3 linked regions of the Lonchura striata genome follow. The protein of the gene in region 1 purifies or fractionates together with the protein of each later gene. This does not show direct contact. Links are inferred from orthologs where the notes say so. Each region holds a gene or a part of one and is shown in the gene's direction. Other genes may lie near its edges. The genes, in order: CUL1, PSMA2 and FBXL18.

Region 1 (3,746 bases):
TAAATTTCTTTCAATTTCTACCCTCTTCTTCTCTCTGCAGTGTTGTTTTCAAGTTGTCTTGTTACTACTCTGAAACTTACAATTACAGGAAGATTTCTAAGCTCTTACAAAAGCCACATTTAATCAGTTTTCAAGGCAATGTTCATGCACTTAGAGGCAATGATTCCTGATGTTATTCACATCAGGAGCTCAGAGAAGCTTCACAGTTTGGTTTAACACTTGCTTGACAAAGATACACTGTTAACTCACAGCTGTACCATCCATTCGTGCTCCCAGACTTGGTGTGGTGCCATTCACTGTCCAGGACACTTTGGAAACCTGTCTTTCTCATAAATACAGAAGCAGCTCTTTAGCCATGGATGGAGGAAAGTCTTATCATGTCTAATGATGTAATCCTGAAACACATGGAATCACAGAATGTTAAGGTTTTGGAATGGACCTTAAAGATCATCTAGTCCCAACACCCCCTGCCGTGTGCAAGGACACTTAGTTAAACACTGCCAGGGCTGGGGCATCCACGACCTCCCTGGACAATTTATTCCCTTGTTCCAGCACCTCACCACCCACACAGTAAAGAACTTCTTCCAAATATCTAACTTAAAATTCCCTTTGTTGAATTTGTACCTACTACCCTGTGTCTTATCACTACAGTTCCTGACAAAGAGCTCCTCTCCAGTTTCCCTCTAGGATTCTTCAGATACTGGAAAGCTGCAGCCACACAACCTTCTCTTCTCCAGACTGAACAGCCACAGCTTTCTCAGCCTGTGTTCATGGGGGAGGTGTTCCAGTCCTTTTATCACCTTCGAGGCCTCCTTTTGGCTAACTCCAACAGCTGCATGTTCTTCTTATGTTGGGGACACCAGAACTGCACACAGCGTTCCAGCTGGGGTCTAACCAGAGACGAGCAGAGGGGCAGAATTACCTCCCTCGCCCTGCTGACCCCAGAGCTGCTTTTGATGCAGCCCAAGTTCAATTGACTTTTTGGCTTGCGAGCGTACACTTGCCGGCTCATGTTGACTTTTTCATCAATCGTCACTCCCAAGTCTTTCAGCTCATCCTTCAGCTCTTCTGGCACCGGACTAACCTGGGGAGGGTCGGAGCACCGACCCCTCGGGCAGGGCAGGGCAGGGCAGGGCCGGCCCGGCTGCCAAGGGGATGGCGGCGGGCCGGCCTCCCCCGCCGAGCGGCTGACGGCGGGCGGGCTCCGCCGCAGGCCGAGGCCCGGCCCCGCCGGGCCCTGCCCCGCCGGGCCCTGCCGGCGCGGGCAGCCGCAGCCCCGCTTCCCCGCCCGCCGTGAGCCGGGGCGGGGCGGCTGCGAGGGGCGGCGCCTCCGCGATCCCCGGGCCGCGCCGGGGGGAGGTGGCGGCGGCGGATCCGGGCCCGGCGGAGGCGGAAGGGGCGGGCGGACGTGGCCCTGACTCTGCGGGACGCGCGATGCTGGTGAGTGCAGGGAGGCCGCGGCGTTGTGTCGCAGCGAGGCCTGGCCCGGCCCGGCCCGGCCCGGCAGGACGCGAAGGCGGCGGCGCGGGGCCCGGCACTGAGTCACGCCGCGGGGACCGGGGGAAGGGGCGGTCGGGCCCGGCCCGCCCGCCCGCCTTTCTTCTCCCGGGGGCGCTGCCGGCCCGGGAGCGCGGGGGCGGCGGCGGTGGCCGCCCGGGCCGCTCGTGGATCCGGCCCCGGAGCCGCGGGCCGGGCCGGAGCGGGGAGGCCGCGAGCTGCGCACTCAGCACGCATCGCCCCCGGCGGGGTGCGGGAGCGCCCCGCTGGCCGCCCCGGCCCCGCAGGAGCTGCCCGACCACCGCGGGGCTGCCCGCTCCCTCCCTCCCACCCCGGCCTTCCCCCGTGACCGCGGCCCCCGCATGGCTAGGGCGCCTCGGTGCCTGCCCCAGCCTTTCCGTCCCGCCCCGGCGGCTCTCGGGCCCGTCCTCCCGCAGCCCTCGCTGTGCCCCAGTCGGCCCCGGGACTGCCCACCCCAGCCATCCCAGGCCCTGCTCCTCCCACGCCTCTCCCCTCTTTTCTCCCTGCGAGCTTTTGTCCGTAACCTCACCGGGCACTGTTTTGGGGAGTTCACCTGCTCTCTGTCCTCCCTGTCCTTTCCTGTGCTGCTTCCTTTCACCCTGTTCATCCCACCAATCCCCATAGCCCTGGTGATACTCAGGTCTGTCTAGGAGCTATTTGGTTGTACCTGGAGACATTCCCTAGTGCTCTCACGTACCATCGTGGCTGGGGGATCTTTGCCACAGTTCATCTTGGTCAACTTCTCTAGGTTTCTCTTGCTCTCAAGGACTGTGCGCCGGGTTTCCCCTTGTTGCCACCTACTGTTGTAGGTGCCCCGTAACCCTTTGTTTGTCTGTGTACTTATTGTCTCTATCCAGATGACTATCTTGCATTTTTTGTTTCAAATAACCAGCTCATTTGTTTCCCAGTAACTTTGCCACTGCAAGCTAAGTGTGTCCTGATTGGGGTCCTTTCCTCATCCTTCTTGTTTCCTCTTGAAGTTATATTCCAGCACTGTCATTACCCCTCTGTTACCTTTCCCCTTCCAGTTTTCTTCTGCCCAGTAACCGTTTCCTTCTTCATGCTTTTTTGCCCTTCTGATCTTACTTTCCTGTCATTAAAGCCTTCCTTGTGATCTCACCTAATACTCTTTTCTTTGCACATACTCCTTTCCTCTGTAGATTCATATACTGTCTCCCTCACTTTGTATTTAAATGCTCTATCTATGCCTTTGAGGAGAAGGGAATTTTACCCTAGGTTATCTGAATACTTGTGTTCTGGTTTCAGCTGGCATAGCATTAAACACTGAAAGGACAGAGATTAATTACTTGGTTTACCTTATTTTGTTTTGATTTTTTACTGTCTTCTTTAGCAACTTTTCCCTTGGTATATGTGTTCATATATAATCACTTACCTCAGCCCTAATACAGACACATGCCCTGATGCTACTCGGGGAGAAAAAAATCTCTATTGGAAATCCTTTTGGGAGGACTGGGAAGAATCGTCCATGGAAGCCAGAAATATGTGGTGGCTACATAGCTTGAATTAGGCTAAATAATGTTTGTAATACCATATTGTGAATTGGTACTTAATTGGTGTGGAGTGTATTTGGGATACCTCCTCTTTGGGGAAGTAGCAAGATACTGTACAGGTACCATGGTACGTAGTTTTTACTCACAATGAACTGCTGTAATGTCGTGTGTTGATGATTACATGTCTGTGTGGCATCGGCACTTTGAGTTTCTGATGGTGACTTGACCAGAAAGAAGCCTTCTCCATCTGCTTTGTAACTTCTTGTTTTTAGTATTTATTGTCCAACTTCTTATTTTGTGTCTGTCTTAGTTGGTTTGGTTCTTAAGATTGGTTACATTTCACAGCCATCTCATGACCACATGTTTGAGGTGCAGTTTCAGCACTGGACACACTTGCCCTGTGGAGGCATGGTGAGCACATTTGATCTCGGGATTAATTCATACACCTAACTATAGAATCCCGGTTCAGTGCCTTGTGTTAATAGCGTCTCTGGAGGAAACTTTCCATTGCTTAGCCAGGGATCTTATAGAAATATAGTCTTAGTTTGGGCACCTAAATTAGGCATATGTGTTTTACTCCTTAGCTGACAAAGTAGCGGTGGTGGTTTAGCAAAATGATTCTTCTTCCACCTTGCTCCTTTGTACGCTGCTTTGAACTGGCCTTAAAACTTGGGCCCATTGCTCAAACCATGAGAAAATCACATTGCTTTATTGCTT
Region 2 (3,746 bases), about 2.9 Mb from region 1:
TTATTTCATCTGTTCAGCCTGGAGAAGATTGAGAGGAGACCCCCTCACAGTCTACAACTTCCTCATGAGGGGAAGGAGAGGGGCAGGCACTGATCTCTGTGGTGACAGGACTCAAGAGTGTGGCATGAAGCTGAGTTAAGGGAGGTTTAGATCAGACATTAGGAAAAACTTCTTCCCCCGGAGGGTGTTTGGGCACTGGAAAAAGTTCCCCAGGGAAGTGGTCACAGCTCCAAGCCTGATAGAATTCAGGAAGTGTTTGCACAATGCTCTCAGGCACATGGTGTGACTAATGAGGCTGTCCTGTGCAGGGCTGAGCTGGACTTGATGATCCTTGTGTGTCCATCCCAGCTCAGCATCATCTGTGATTCTGAGATAGAAATTCCTTACAGCCGAGCACCGGTGCTGCCATCACCCCTGAAGCAAGGCCAGAGCGGCGCTCCCGCCCCGCTCCCTCACTGACCCCAGCGCTCCCCCGCCCTCCGCCCTTCAGGGGTAAAACGAGTCCCTCGGCCGCGACGTCGCCCTCCCACAGAATCACAGAAACAATGGCGCTGGGAGGGACCTCTGAGATCATCTACTCCAAACCCTTCCCAAGACAGGTGACACAGGAACGCGTTCCTTCAGCTGGGCAGAGAAGGGGCCGGAACCTACCCCAGGGTGGGCTTTGGCCCCCGAAGACACCCGGCCAGAGGCCGCGCTCCAGCCGCTCCCAGCAGCGCTGGAGCAGAGCGCGAAGCCGCGGCAGCGGAGAGCGGACCAGGACCAGCACCGCCATGAGCCCGCACAGCCCCGCCGAGCTCACGGGGGAGGCGATCCTGTTCCTGAGCCTTCTGGGAAACCGAGTGCCCCTAGCCGGCCACGACATTGCGGGGAGGCAGGAGCAGGACTCCAAGTCCCAGCACTGCTGTCGCTACCAGGAAGGCGGGGCGGTGGAGGGCGGTGGGGGACTCAAACACCCAGCCTGCCTCACGGCGCGCCTCCGCCAACCGCATCCCGGCGCGCTCAGGCAGAGGCCGCCACCCCGCCAATCAGCGCGCTCGCTGTGCCCTCGCGCTGGGAGCGGGAGAGGCGTTCGCGCCTGCGCCGAGGAGGCGGCGCGGGGAGCGCAGGGGCTGGTGCCGAAATGGCGGAGCGCGGCTACAGCTTCTCCCTCACCACCTTCAGGTGCGGGGGCAGGGACGGCTGTGGGCTCGCGGGCAGAGGCGGGCGGGCTGCCGGGCCAGCGGGAGAACGGCGCGCAGACTGAGCGGAGCGGCCTGCTGGCGGCGGCGAAGCAGGACCGAGGGGGCGCTTTGCAGAGTCATCGGGCCTGCGAGCGCTGGGGGGCAGCGGGGGCTCGACCTGGGCAGGAGTGACGGGCGTGGGGAGAGCGGCGGGGCTCAGGCGCCCGAGGGGGACACGCAGCTGCCCAGAGGCTTCCTGAAGGGCCGCGGGGCGGGTCCCTCTGGTGTCTGTCGCTGACCTCGGCCCCCAGTGCGGGCGCCGCTTGTGTCTCCGCTGCTGTAGGACCACATTAAGGTCTGTCTCAACACTGCTGGTGCCTGTCAGCGAGTGCTTGGCTTAGCAAACTCGGGGGCACCACACACACGCAGTATAGGCTGGGGAATAATTCTATGATTCTGAGCTAACTGGAAATGTGTGATGACAGCTGAGCTGTGCTGTCCTGAGAGCTTGCTTCAGATGTGGGAATGAGTGAAGCAGATGAGTTTTAAAATAGTTTGTGTTCCTTCCTGCTACACTTGGCATGGCTGCTCTCCTTGCACTTGGTGTTTTGCACGGTCTGAGTGTGGAATGATGGCATGCACAGAGTGAATGTGCTATTGGAGTAGTCTTTGTTGGGTGTTGCTTTAATACCTAGACTGAAGATTAATTCAGCATAAAGGAAATTATCTTCCATTCATATTTTGGAATTATTAAAGTATTCAGACCTATGTTGCATATAGAAAAAAGAAAAACTAGCCATAAGAACCTTTACGCTGTTGTGGTGAAGTGTCCCTTTAATCTCAGTGGAGAGTTATGTTGTGTAACTGCAAAAGGGATTGCTAAAGGCTTGTTGCAGTTGAGCAAATGAAGCAGTTCGAAACCTAAAATGATGAAAAGAATGTTCTTAGTGGATGGAAGCAGCCAAACATGCTTGCTTTGCTCAAGTAGATTGAATTCTTTATTAGCTTTCAGAAACTATTTCCTAAGGGAGTCACAAACTTTTTGTATTTTACAGAAGCACTATGTGCTTGGAATGATTGTTCTGATTTGTTATAGTTTGTAGTGGAAAAGCCAGAATTACTACTTTGTTACCCTTACACCCCGTTTCCTCAGTGTATAAGTGACTACACTGATTGATTACTGCTTGGTTTTCTTCATCTAAACACTGAGTTACATAATATCCCATTTTACATCTGCAACTATTAGAGCAGCAGTGTCTGAAATACAGCCTAGAGAACAGATCACATGCAAAACCACTTGTCCAGTGAGTGCTTGTCTCTGGTGTCCTTTTTAGTAGGGATGGAGAATGGACCCCTCCATCCCCCTTTTCTGAATAAGTTATACTTTGTAACTTACTTTGCATGACACCTGCAGCTCCATTCTGATGATCCTGCATCCTTTGCCAGGATAAGGTGGATCATTAAAACAAAATGCAGAATTATCCGGGAATGGAATGGGAGTTGTGCTGTCTTGCTTGTCAGTCAAAAAGCATAGCTGTGTTTTGCTGGTTCCTTTCAGCAGTGAACATCAGTGTCTCGAAAGCTCTTGGAAACCACATATACAATGTAATTTCAATAGAAAGTCATGACACACCCTGAAGATTTTTCCCACTGAATGGAAAACTTTATTTTGCATCTTCCTTTCTAGTCCTTCTGGAAAGCTTGTTCAGATTGAATATGCTTTGGCTGCAGTAGCTGCAGGAGCTCCATCAGTTGGGATTAAAGGTATGTCCTGAAAATACTGATGGATTTGGGATTCTGTCTATTTTTTGGGAGAACTAAAGCAGTTTGGATCGTGTAACGGGTCTCTTGTATTGGATCCTTATTTATCTTTCTTTCTGTCACATGTTTTGTTACTCTTTCAGTGGATTTTCACATGCTTTACTAAATTTTATGCTTCCTGGGGTTCTTTTTTTGGGTGATTTTGGAGACATTCAGCTGGTAGAAATAGGTGTTTGGTTTTGGGGCTTTTTTGAGTGTTCCTGTCCTTTTATATAGAAATAACACACACACAAAAAAAGCTAGTTAGATTGCTCAATAATTAATGTTGCACAGAATCTTGAGAATGGGATTATGGGAGCTGTATGTTCATTTTAAAAAAGAAACTATGTATTCATCAAAGTATCTCTCTTTAATCTAATTGTAAGCTTTAATGTTTTTTAAAGAGAGAGGAAGAAGTTTTTTAGTTTAATAAGCTCATTCTATGTTTTGACTGCTAATTTTAGTTTAATTTTTAAAGAAATTTTTTGTTCTTTTCTAGCTGCAAATGGAGTGGTGTTGGCAACTGAGAAGAAGCAGAAATCCATTCTGTATGATGAAAGGAGCGTCCACAAAGTAGAACCAATTACCAAACATATAGGTTTAGTGTACAGTGGTATGGGTCCAGATTACAGGTATTAAAACATTTTGTTTGATTACTGTTTAGATGCATATTCATACAAGAAGTTTAAGTAACAGGTAGCAATTAGCTGTTTCTTTCTCAGTGTATGTCATAATACTATATTGCACTGTAAATGACATTCACATGAAGTTTTTCTTAATATA
Region 3 (3,746 bases), on another chromosome or scaffold:
GCTGAGGAGGGGTCTTGAGTGCCAGGATCAGCCGAGGAAGGGTCTTGAGCGCCAGGATCAGCCGAGGAAGCTGGCGGGGGCTCAGCCTGGAGAAAAGGAGGCTCAGGGGCACTTTCTTGCCCTGCACAACTCCCTGACAGGAGGCTCCAGCGAGATGGGGGTCGGGCTCTGCTCCCAGGGAGCAGTGGGCAGGATGAGAGGAAATGGTGTTAAACTGTGCCAGAGGAGGGTCGGGATGGACATCAGGAAGCATTTCTGCACAGGAAGGTTTGTCAGATACTAGAAGGGGGTGCCCAGGTGGGTGGTGGAGTCACTGTCCCTGGAGGCGTTTATGGAAAGTCTGGACATGACACTAAGCGACACGGTGGCGTTCGGTCAAAGATTAGACTGGACGAGCTCAGATTTCTTTTCCACCGTGAGCGCTCTCTCACTCCGCGGACCCGCCGCTCCCTCCATGGCGGCGCCGCCGCCCTCAAGATGGCGGCGGGGGGCGGCCGCGCCGCGCTCAAGATGGCGGCGCGGGGCGGGCGCTGCCGCGGAACCGGGTCATGGCCGCGCCGGAAGAGCCGTGAGGCGGCCGGGCCGGCGGGAGCGAGCCCGGGACGCGGCCGCTGCCAGCGGGGCCCGGCGAGGCGGCGGTGGTGGCCGCGGCGGGACCGCGCGGCTGCCGCCATGTTGCGCTGCGGAGAGGTGAGTCGGGGCTTGTGGGGCTGAGCTCGGCGCCCGCTTCCCCTCCGCAGCGGCCCCTCGGGGCGCCGGTAACAGCGGCGGGCGCGGGGCTGCGGGAGCCCGGAGCCCTCAGGGCGGGCAGCCGGGCTCGGGGGCAGGCAGAGCGCTCGGCGGCGGGGCCGGAGCGCCGGGATCGCCCTCGGCGGGTGATCCGGGGGCTGTGAGGTGCAGCAGCCCCGCTGCCCCTCCGCGGCTGCCCTGGCGTTAGTGCCGGTTTGCGCTCCGGTGTCGCCGTTAAGGCGCGGGGGTGTTGCACAAGAGGTGGGGTGATGTTGGGCTGCAGTGTTGGTGTGTTTCTGTATGTGTAAGCAGATATATATAGCCGTATATATATGTATATATGCACGGTTATGTAACTCTAAAGGTTATTGAAACGGGTGGCGCTTGGAGGAAGGATGTAGAGGGAGATTGCTGTGATACATTTAGGAAAGGATCATGGACAGTCGCTTTTCCAGTTGCGAAGTAAGTACAATGAATGCAAATGTTAGCCAACAGTGAGAGACCGAGTGAAAGTGCCATGATTTCGTGTGAAATTTTGCACTACCTCCATATTCTCCTTTTATTTTTCCTCTTTTTTTTTTTTTTTTTTTTTCCTACTAGGAGGTCGTAAGTGAGGAGAGCGAGGAGGAAAGCAATGGAGTCAACTTGATGGAGTTCTCAGATGAGATCCTTCTGCACATCCTCAGCTATGTCCCTTGCACAGACCTGATCCTCAATGTCAGGAGAACCTGCAGGAAACTTGCAACGCTTTGCCTTGACAAGAGTCTAACACATACAGTCCTGCTTCAGAAGGACTATAAGGTGGGGAGAGTAGTTTCTTCTGTTAGCTGTGAAGACAAATCATACTTCTGAAAAACAATACCAAGAAGTAGAACTTTCCAATGTTTATACATAAATAGACTGCTCCTGAGCTCTGAAATCAAATACACAGTAAGCTGTTGTATAAAAGCATTTATTTTCCAGTATGCTTTGTTGAAACAGCTCTGTGCTTCCTTAGTTTTATAAAATACTGTCAGTGAAAACTTAACTTCTCCATATTTCTGGAAGCTAAAATGAAAGTAAATGTGACCTTAAAGTTACTATTTTCCCAAATTATGTTTTCCCTGTTGTTGTGCAAAAAAATCTTGTGCATGTTGCTGTCAGGTATGCAGTCAGCAAAGCCAGAAATTGTGTGCATGTTATAACAAAAATAAAGCTTGGGAAGGAAGGGTGATATATTCAATAAGAACTGTATCAGCTAGTGCAGGCAGGGGAAAGCCCCCTGTGCTCATTTCCAAAAGAGGAAACTGAATGAAGAAGAATGGAAACATTCTTCTTTCAATTTGAGTTTCTGCACATAGGCAGTTCTGCCAAAATAGTTTTGCTGGTAGAAAATTGAGGTGGTTTTCCTTTCCACTGTCAGCTGCTGAACAGTCTGTAATGCAGAACTGCAGAAGCAAAAGGAAGTGTAAATCTTAAGAGTCCAAAGCATGGCAAACTGAGCTGCCAGCAGTGTGGTAATTCTTAGGCTGTGCTGCCCTCCCCAGACTTCTGGATGAAAAGTACCAGCCACTCTTCTCTCCATCTCCAGCTGGGAAACTGAGTCACCACTGCTGTATCTCTCACTGAACGTGGTTTTGTTTGGATGCAGGTAAACAAAGACAAAGTGAAGCAGCTGATGAGGGACATTGGAAAGGAGATCTACCAGCTGAACATGGCCGGGTGCTACTGGCTGCCCAGCTCCACTATCGACCACGTAACACGGTGCAAGAACCTGGTGAAGCTGAACCTGTCCGGGTGCCACGTCACCTCTCTGCGGCTCTCCAAGATGCTCTCCACGCTGCAGCACCTGCGCTCCCTGGCCATCGACGTCAACCCGGGGTTTGATGCCAGCCAGCTGAGCAGCGAGTGCAAAGCCACCCTCAGCCGCGTCTCGGAGCTGAAGCAAACCCTCTACACGCCCTCGTACGGGGTCGTCCCGTGCTGCACCAGCCTTGAGAAACTGCTGCTCTACTTCGAGATCCTCGATCGCTCGCGCGAGGGGTTTATGCTCTCTGGGCAGCTGATGGTGGGCGAGAGCAACGTGCCCCATTACCAGAACCTCCGCATCTTCTACGCCAGGCTGGCTCCTGGCTACGTCAATCAGGAGGTGGTGAGGCTGTACTTGGCAGTGCTGAGTGATCGGACACCTGAGAACCTCCACGCCTTCCTCATCTCTGCCCCCGGCAGCTTTGCGGAGACGGGAGCCACCAAAAACCTCCTGGACTCCATGGCCCGAAATGTACGTCTGGATGCTTTACAACTGCCCAAAGCCTGGATTAATGGCTCTGGGCTCCTGCAACACTTGAAGTTCAACAACCCTTTCTACTTCAGCTTTAGCCGATGCACCTTATCTGGTGGGCACCTGATCCAGAGGGTCATTAATGGCGGGAAGGATCTTAAAAGCCTGACCAGTTTGAATCTCAGTGGTTGCGTTCACTGCCTGGCCCCGGAGTCCTTGTTTCGGAAAGCAGAAGATGACATTGACAGCAGCATTTTAGAAAGCTTGGTAGTGTCTTGCTGCAACCTGAGACACCTGAACCTCTCTGCAGCTCACCATCACAGCTCTGAAAGCATAGGGAACCACCTGTGCCAGCTCCTGTCCAGGCTAAAGCACCTGCTCTCATTAGCACTACCAGTTTGCTCCATCACAGATGTTGGTGCAAGCGTGGAGAAGCCTCCCAGCACACCTAATTTGGTGCCCCAAACATTTGGAAGGAAAGTTCGGATTGGGATACAGACATATCCAAGGAACTTAGGGGACCAGGCAAATCAGAAGATGGAGTCTTCAGTGTTTTGGGCTCTGATGGGAAGCCTCCGATTTTTGGGAACCTTGGAGATAATTGGGTCCAGTTTCTCCTCTGCCATGCCCCGCAACGAGCCAGCAATTCGGAACTCGTTGCCTCCCTGTGTCCGGGCACAGAGCGTGAGGGATTCAGAGGTGGCTGCCATTAGCCAATTGACTTACCTGCAGAGCCTCACCTTAGCACAGCTGCCAA

What was found.
Region 2: the proteins of CUL1 (region 1) and PSMA2 purify together in Homo sapiens (affinity purification with mass spectrometry; 3 studies listed by BioGRID and IntAct, with this or other methods). This does not show direct contact. The link is inferred for Lonchura striata from reciprocal best matches to the Homo sapiens genes CUL1 and PSMA2.
Region 3: the proteins of CUL1 (region 1) and FBXL18 purify together in Homo sapiens (affinity purification with mass spectrometry; 3 studies listed by BioGRID and IntAct, with this or other methods). This does not show direct contact. The link is inferred for Lonchura striata from reciprocal best matches to the Homo sapiens genes CUL1 and FBXL18.

Annotation. Positions count from the first base shown.
Region 1 is NC_134603.1:107,528,952-107,532,697, forward strand, and holds the start of CUL1 (cullin-1), read left to right. Parts: upstream 1-1,314; 5' UTR 1,315-1,440; intron 1,441-2,877; exon of another isoform or gene 2,878-3,746. UniProt on the Homo sapiens protein: Core component of multiple cullin-RING-based SCF (SKP1-CUL1-F-box protein) E3 ubiquitin-protein ligase complexes, which mediate the ubiquitination of proteins involved in cell cycle progression, signal transduction and transcription.
Region 2 is NC_134603.1:104,634,956-104,638,701, reverse strand, and holds the start of PSMA2 (proteasome subunit alpha type-2), read left to right. Parts: upstream 1-1,046; 5' UTR 1,047-1,123; coding exon 1,124-1,164; intron 1,165-2,850; coding exon 2,851-2,927; intron 2,928-3,462; coding exon 3,463-3,595; intron 3,596-3,746. Other genes in the region: MRPL32 (large ribosomal subunit protein bL32m), read right to left, coding at 652-775.
Region 3 is NC_134618.1:14,661,476-14,665,221, reverse strand, and holds the start of FBXL18 (F-box/LRR-repeat protein 18), read left to right. Parts: upstream 1-983; 5' UTR 984-1,164; coding exon 1,165-1,191; intron 1,192-1,329; coding exon 1,330-1,530; intron 1,531-2,359; coding exon 2,360-3,746. UniProt on the Homo sapiens protein: Substrate-recognition component of the SCF (SKP1-CUL1-F-box protein)-type E3 ubiquitin ligase complex.